Cricetulus griseus: one gene and its partner. The protein of the gene in region 2 interacts with the protein of the main gene of each other region in a pairwise test. Links are inferred from orthologs where the notes say so. Each region holds a gene or a part of one and is shown on either strand. Other genes may lie near its edges.

Region 1 (3,060 bases), on a different chromosome or scaffold from region 2:
TGAACCTTGGCAAAAAAAAAAAAAAAAAAAAAAGAAAAAGAAAGAAAAAAAAAAAGAGCTAAGTCCGGATTATGCTGGACATGGAGCAGTGAGACTGAGGTCAGTGAGCACCCTCCGTGTTCTCCAGGCCCCCCTGCCCCCGCCTCGTTCCTCCCGGCGGCTCCGCGCTGGCACTCTGGAGGCCCTGGTCAGATACCTGTTGGATGCCCGGACGTCAGGGGTTGACGTGACTTTCACTCCAGCCTTGCTGGCCACCCACCGGGCCTTCACCTCCACGCCTGCCCTGCTTGGGCTTGTGGCTGACAGGTGAGGGACCAAGGGTTGAGGGGCCTCCTGGACTTCCTGTGAGCCCTCACAGCGCCCGGGGGTTGAAAAGGCCGCATAGGTAGACCCTCTCCTCATCCCCAGGCTGGAAGCCCTCGAGTCGCAGCCTCCTGGTGAGCTAGAGAGGACCACAGGGTGAGTGGCCCCTGACCACCTCAGTCAGTCCCCTCTGAGGAAGCTGAGGTTGGACCTCTGACCCTCGGCTGGTTCCCCTTCTCCCAGGGTAGCCATCTCCGTGCTTTCAACCTGGCTGGCCTCTCACCCTGAGGATTTTGGCTCTGAGGTCAAGGGTCAGCTTGACCGGCTTGAGAGCTTCTTGCTTCGGACAGGGTATGCAGCACAGGAGGGTGTTGGGGGGGGCAGTGCTGACCTCATCCGAAACCTCCGGGCCCGGGTAGATCCCCGGGCCCCCAACCTTCCTAAGCCCCTGGCCCTTCCTGGCGATTCCCCTGCTGACCCCACGGATGTCCTGGTGTTCCTCGCTGACCACTTGGCCGAACAGCTGACCCTGCTAGATGCGGTGAGACCTTGACCTTTGACCCTGTGCTCTCTGACCCCTTACTAACCTCTCCTTGGCTCCAGATCCTTTCCTTGCTTCCTGGAGCTCTTCTTCCATCTTCTGCTCTGGCCTTCCTCCCTTCCCTCCTCCCCTTGGCTGTTATCCTCGAGCTGTGTGCCCTGCTGGTCCCTGGTCACTTAAGAGCCTCAGATCCCTGATACTGGGAACCTGCCTGGCTTGACTATAAGTTTTAACCTGTGACCTCTGCCCTGCAGGAGCTGTTTCTCAATCTGATCCCCTCTCAGTGTCTGGGAGGCCTGTGGGGTCACAGAGACCGGCCAGGACATTCTCACCTCTGCCCATCTGTCCGAGCGACTGTCACACAGTTCAACAAGGTGGCAGGGGCAGTAGTCAGCTCCGTGCTGGGGGCCACCTCAATTGGAGAGGGGCCAGGTGAGGTGACCGTGAGGCCACTCCGACCCCCGCAGAGGGCCCGGCTCTTGGAGAAGTGGATCCGTGTGGCGGAGGTAAGAGAGCAGTCCTGCTGGCTGGGACGGTGGCGTGGGGAGGCCCCGCCCTGCTGGCTGGGGACGGTGGTGGTGTGGGGAGGGCCCACAGCCTTGACTCTGGGTTTTCCGTCCTCACAGGAGTGCCGTCTGCTTCGGAACTTCTCCTCAGTCTATGCTGTCGTGTCGGCCCTGCAGTCCAGCCCTGTCCACAGGCTTCGGGCAGCCTGGGGGGAAGCAGCCAGGTGGGAGACCCCAAGTGCCTGAAGCCTGGGTGCAGAAGCTGAGCCAGGCCTGTGCTCAGAGCCCCGCTCTTTCCCCCTAGGGACAGCCTCAGAGTCTTTTCCAGCCTGTGCCAGATTTTCTCAGAGGAGGACAATTATTCTCAGAGCAGAGAGCTCCTCACGCAGGTGAGGCTAGTATTGCCTTCCCCAGCCCTTCCCCAGCCCCCGCCCAGCCCCCTCCTCCTGTCACCTTGTTTGTCACCACCAGGAAGTGAAGCTGCAGCCCCCTGCAGAGCCACACTCCAAGAAAGCCCCAAGGTCTGGCTCCAGGGGTGGGGTGAGTGACCCTGGGACTGGAAGGGGCGCCTCGGCTCGGCTCACCCGGTGAGGTGAATGAAGACAGTTCTGTGTGGAGGGAAGGGAGAGAAAAGCTGTGTCCTGACAGGAGTCTGACCCTGACCCCTCTGCAGGGTGTGGTTCCATACCTAGGGACCTTCCTGAAGGATCTCGTGATGCTGGATGCAGCCTCCAAGGATGAGTTGGAGGTCAGTGGTTGGTGTGTGCGTGCGTGCGTGTGAGAGACAGAGAGGGGGGGGAGGGAAGAAGGGAGGGCAGGGAGGACTCTGTTCTGGAAGGCTTGACAAGTGCACCTAAGGGTCAGACAGACACCCTTCCACAGAGAGGCTACAGGGCAGAAGCAGCAGAGTTTCTGGAGCCAGGTTCTGTTACCCTGGCACATAGTCCAACCTCCCAACCTCTGTACTTCAGGGGTCTGTCTGTGTATGTCCTGTTATCTAATGGGAGGGGTAAATGCATACGCAGGCTATTAAATGTGCAAAGAGTGTGAGGGCCTCCGAGCATGCTCAAGAGCCTGGGTTCCACCCCCAGTACTGCAGACAAAGGAAAATACTGAGGCGTCCAGGAAGTTCTGTGCCTGCCGTGAGCCCAATGTCTCATCTAGAAGTTAGATGCTTTCTCTTAGACAGGAATTTAAAGCCTTGGGTGGAGCTGAGCGTCACCTGGGATCCCAGCACTGTACTCAGGGGGAAGAGGGCAGCCTGGGCTACATAGTGAGTTCTAGGCCAGCCAAGGCTACACACAGTGAGACCTTGTCTCATGACGAGTTTGGGCTGGGATATGAATGGGAGGGAGAGGGTGGACTCCCAGGGTCTGAGTGGCTCCTGCACTGGCTGTGTTTGGGGAGAGCGGGTGCTCTGTGCCCGAGCAGGGTTAGCGCTTTCACCCCTCTCCTTCTGCCCTTGCAGAACGGCTACATTAATTTTGACAAGCGGAGGAAGGTAAGATGACTACGGGGCTCCCTGTCTGTCCCAGGAATGGGGAGAGGGAGGCAAACTCAGGGGTCCCTGAGTTTTGGCTCCTGCAGTTTGAGGGCTCCTTCCCAGGAGTTTGCTGTCCTTTCGGAGCTGCTGCGCCTCCAGAACGAATGTCGTGGCTATGACCTCCGACCTGACCCCGATATCCAACAATGGCTCCAGGGCCTCCAGCC
Region 2 (4,466 bases):
GCCGACCTCTAACTCCTGCACTTCTTACCTGTCTTTCCCAGATACATTTTTGTAGTAAGAGTTACCTCTTTCCACTGCACTTCATGGTTTATTGCTTACTCAGTCCAGTGTGTCTTGCCCCAAAAGATGTAGGCCCCACTCCAGGTTTCCCCTAGCACAAGGGACATGAAGAGGCAGCTCTCACCTGAGGGGTGGGCCAGGATGCCCGAGACCAGGGGCCCAGCCCTGGACCCCTCCACCAAGGCGGTCGCTCTCTCAAGTGAGGGTTTTTTTTATTTTTTCCTCCGCGGTGGGGTTGCGGCCCTGGCGCCATGGCAACGGGGGCGGGGCCTCATTTGAATACCCAAATATTCGTGAGCCGCGGGCATCCGGGGCTGCGGCAGGATGAGCCCCGCCCCCTAGCAACGGTTGCCGGGACACGCGGCAGATCCGGTGGCAGGGTTCCCCTGAGTGGCAGGCAAGCGAGACGGATGAGAAGACGCCCACAGAGGTTCGGAGAGTTGCCCGTGAGAGGTTTCTGTCCCGCTCTGGGTTATCTGACTGCTGGCCGCATCGGCCGAGCCTAGCTCTCACCCCGGGATACACGTGAGCGCGCGTCCCCAGGCCTGCATCACCTGAGAAAGCCCTGTCGGTTTTCTAAGGAGGACGTTCTTACTCGTTTCTTTGAAATTTTCAAAAAGTTGCAAACATGTCATTTGCGTCTGACACAGATGTACCCTACTTGCATGAGTGGATGGAACATTTCATTTCGCCCTAATACCAACTTTTCTGACTTCCGGGGTCGTTCTTCAAATGGGGCACAGTATGAGCTGCTGCAGGGTTGGGACCTCGAGTTTTGGGGGAGGTAAGGGAGGGTCTTCTCCAAAGCACAAGGAGCGCGGTGTGATGGGCCGATGCTGCCTCGGGATGGGGCCTTCGCTACACCTCGGCCTCCGAGAACAGGCAGCTTGGGGTTCCGGCGGGTTCTGCCTTCCTCTGGTATCCCGCGTCCGCGGTGCTGACTGTCCCCGACGCCAGGTCCCGGTCGGAATGACCTTTCCGCTCCCAGGGCCTTTGGGCCTCTGGAGCGGCTGCAGAGTGTGGGCTCTGTGGCAGGCCCCGCGACCCAACCCGAGCGTACCCCAGTTTCTCTCCGGAGGAATCTCGGGTTCCCTCATTCTCTTCCGCACCTCGGAACTAGGCGTCACTCATTTGAGTGCAGTACCCAGGTCGCGACAGCGCTCTCTCTGCTACTCCAGGAAGCCCCGCCTAGCTGCGGCTCCTGACGGATGGGTCGCTCAGCCAACCACAACAGGTCGCGGTGAGGCGGAGCTCGACCAATCACCGACTGTCTAGAGTTGACGGACGGGGCGGAGCGGGGCGGGGCGAGCGCGGGCCCGGCCGAGTCCCCGCCGTCCGCGCCCGGCGCCCGCAGCCCGAGCCGCACCCGCCGCGGACGGAGCTCATGCGCGGCCCAGCCAGCGCCGGTCCGCGCCCCCACCCTGCCCCGGCCCCGGCCCCGGGGGCAGTCACTCCAGCAAGCGGTGAGTGCGGGCGTGGGGTGGGGCGCGGGGCGCAGGTGATCGGTGCTTCCCCTCTCCTCTCACCCCGGCAGCGTGCCTAGCGCCCGGCTGCCCGCCTCTGCGGCCCGGCCCGGCCCGCCCCGCCTGTAGCCGCCCTCCCGGCGAGGCGCCGCCCGGGCCTCCGGAGACTCTGCGCCCCGCGGCCATCACGCTCCGGCCTCGGGGCTACAAGGACACCCGCTTCAGGCCCCAATCAGGGCCTTCTGTTCCCCAGTCACCCCTCGCGCCCCTTGTGAGTCTTTCCCGCAGTCACCTGCTTCCCACACCCTCAGCCGCTTTTCCACCCCTGCTTGCTGAAGGCTCCCTGGCCTCTTGTGGAAGGTCTGTCTCAGCGGAGGGCAGGGTCCCTCTCCAGCCACCCTTCCCCCGCTGCCCGGACCGCGCCTGGCATGCAGTAGGCGCTCAGTAAATACTTGTCGGTTGCACCCACATGCCGGCGGGCCGGAGCCGGTTGTAGGCTGGCACTGGCCTGCCTGGGCACGCTGAGTCCGCCGTGGCAGGACCTGTTTTTGGGGGGTGGCCTCAGCCCTCAGGCACCTCCCGTTGAGGCTTTCTGCCTACCTAGCGACTTCTAATTTGGGTGCGTGGTTGGGAGAAGCTCTCAGCTGTCAGCCCTGCCTTGGGGGCCTCTCCCTGCTTCCTCACACAGCCATTAAGTGCTGGTGGAGGAGGTGGGGGGCCTCCCTGTCCCAGCTGGAGGTGCCACAGGTGAGTGACTGGGCCACTGTGGTGGCTGGCCTGCCTGCTCAATGCTGGTTAGGGCCTTTGGGTCAGGCATCTACTAGCAGTCTCAAGTGGCCCGGGCCTGGATAAGTGTGGCTCTCATTGGCAGGTGGGGCAGGAGCTCCTGGAGTGGCAGCCTCTATAGAAGCGATGACAGAATACAAGCTCGTGGTGGTGGGCGCTGGAGGCGTGGGAAAGAGTGCCCTGACCATCCAGCTGATCCAGAACCATTTTGTGGACGAGTATGACCCCACCATAGAGGTGAGCTCTGGCTACCTGGCTCTGGCAGTGGTCATGGAAGAGTCAGGAAGGCCCACATAGCTAGGTCTTGCAGGTGGTATGGGTCTGCTGCCACCTAATCTATCAGAACATGAGAGGTGCAAGGGTGGGTGGGCTCTGTGGATTCTCTGAGGAGAGGTGGAACGCCTAAGCTCTGTTTTTTTTACAGGACTCCTACCGGAAACAGGTGGTCATTGATGGGGAGACATGTCTGCTGGACATCTTAGACACAGCAGGTCAAGAGGAGTATAGTGCCATGAGGGACCAGTACATGCGCACAGGGGAGGGCTTCCTCTGTGTGTTTGCCATCAACAACACCAAGTCCTTTGAAGACATCCATCAGTACAGGTGAGCCACCTATGGCTAGCACAGGTGAGGAAGGTTCCATGTGCACACTGAGGGTTTATGTCTTCTGAGTGTCCTGGGTACAGCCATGCCTGTAACCTGCTAGCTGGCTCACATACTCCCCATCCCCTTCCAGGGAGCAGATCAAGCGGGTGAAAGACTCAGACGATGTGCCAATGGTGCTGGTGGGGAACAAATGTGACCTGGCTGCTCGAACTGTTGAGTCTCGGCAGGCCCAGGACCTTGCCCGCAGCTATGGCATCCCCTACATTGAAACATCAGCCAAGACCCGGCAGGTGAGCTTGCTCCCCACTCCATAGCTAGTCAGGGATTCACCCCACCCCACCCCAGCCAGGGAGCAGAGCTCATCGCCCCTCTCCCTCAACACAGGGCAGCCGCTCTGGCTCTGGCTCCAGCTCCGGGACCCTCTGGGACCCCCCCGGGACCCATGTGACCCAGCGGCCCCCATGCTGTAAGTCTCCCAGACGGCAGGGCTGTGAGGGAGGCAAGGGCCAGGGTCTGGGCTTATGCCCTGCAGTTCTGGGTTGACACAGCGCCAGGGCAGGAGGGGGTCCATGGAGAGAGCTGCCCTGAGCCAGGCCGGAGCGGTGACCCAGGAGCCTAGTCCTTCTTGTCCTCATAGTGTCCTATGAGTACCTGTTAGTTTTGAGCCCTAAGTATGGGCAGGGTGTTCAGACCTGAGCCATACTGGGGGTCTGGGAGAGTTCTGAGTCGAGTTGCTCTGAAGGATATTCCAGAGTGAGCCTACTTAAGGAGAGTGGTCCTGTGCCTTTTAGATGTGCAGAGCCCAGCTCCCTATTTGTGTTGGTTGTGCAGCCGAGGAAGGGTTGTTTTCCAGGGTTGGGGTGTTACCTGATCCAGGCAGGGAGTTTCTTACCCAAACAGCACCCCTTTCCTCCTTGGAGTCCCCTCTGATCCAGTCCCTCTGTTCCCAGGGTGTGGAGGATGCCTTCTACACACTAGTACGTGAGATTCGGCAGCATAAACTACGGAAGCTGAACCCACCCGATGAGAGTGGCCCTGGCTGCATGAGCTGCAAGTGTGTGCTATCCTGACACCAGGTGAGGCAGGGACCAGCAGACATCTGGGGCAGTGGCCCCAGCTAGCCAGATGAACTTCATATCCACTCTGATGTCCCTGCTCCCCCCCATCCTGCCAATCTCCCTGCCTGAGGTCAGTGGTGTCCTTTGTGCCCGTCCCGGCACAGGCTCAGGACGTGGAGGTGCCGGATGCAGGGAGGAGGTGCAGACGGAAGGAAGGAAAGAGAAGGGAAGGAAGGAAGGAAGCGATGCTGGAGCCAGTCCAGTCCAGGGATGGTGGACAGAGGTGACCAAGACCTTCGCATGGACAATTGGAACAGACTGTGTCATGAACTGTCCCTATTGCCACTGGCACCCCAGTCCTCAACCCCTCTCAGTTCCCTTCGGGTGCCTATGGGGCACAGGTTGAATTACAGTAAATTATTTGATGGTCTTGACTTGTCTCTGGCTGGGAGCAGGAGGTGTAGTGCCTGTGGCCTCACAGAAGATACTGGGA

What was found. The genes of interacting proteins can lie anywhere in the genome.
Region 1: the proteins of Hras (region 2) and Rgl2 interact in binary tests that used the Homo sapiens proteins (3 or more experiments, as listed by UniProt). The link is inferred for Cricetulus griseus from reciprocal best matches to the Homo sapiens genes HRAS and RGL2.

Annotation. Positions count from the first base shown.
Region 1 is NW_023276806.1:232,080,229-232,083,288, reverse strand, and holds part of Rgl2 (ral guanine nucleotide dissociation stimulator-like 2), read left to right. Parts: intron 1-127; coding exon 128-306; intron 307-408; coding exon 409-459; intron 460-546; coding exon 547-844; intron 845-1,098; coding exon 1,099-1,350; intron 1,351-1,470; coding exon 1,471-1,574; intron 1,575-1,654; coding exon 1,655-1,739; intron 1,740-1,821; coding exon 1,822-1,890; intron 1,891-2,023; coding exon 2,024-2,098; intron 2,099-2,818; coding exon 2,819-2,851; intron 2,852-2,956; coding exon 2,957-3,060. UniProt on the Homo sapiens protein: Probable guanine nucleotide exchange factor. Putative effector of Ras and/or Rap. Associates with the GTP-bound form of Rap 1A and H-Ras in vitro.
Region 2 is NC_048596.1:59,992,126-59,996,591, forward strand, and holds Hras (GTPase HRas), read left to right. Parts: upstream 1-1,369; 5' UTR 1,370-1,444; coding exon 1,445-1,523; intron 1,524-2,394; coding exon 2,395-2,546; intron 2,547-2,733; coding exon 2,734-2,912; intron 2,913-3,045; coding exon 3,046-3,205; intron 3,206-3,299; coding exon of another isoform or gene 3,300-3,381; intron 3,382-3,865; coding exon 3,866-3,985; 3' UTR 3,986-3,991; exon of another isoform or gene 3,992-4,108; 3' UTR 4,109-4,407; downstream 4,408-4,466. UniProt on the Homo sapiens protein: Involved in the activation of Ras protein signal transduction. Ras proteins bind GDP/GTP and possess intrinsic GTPase activity.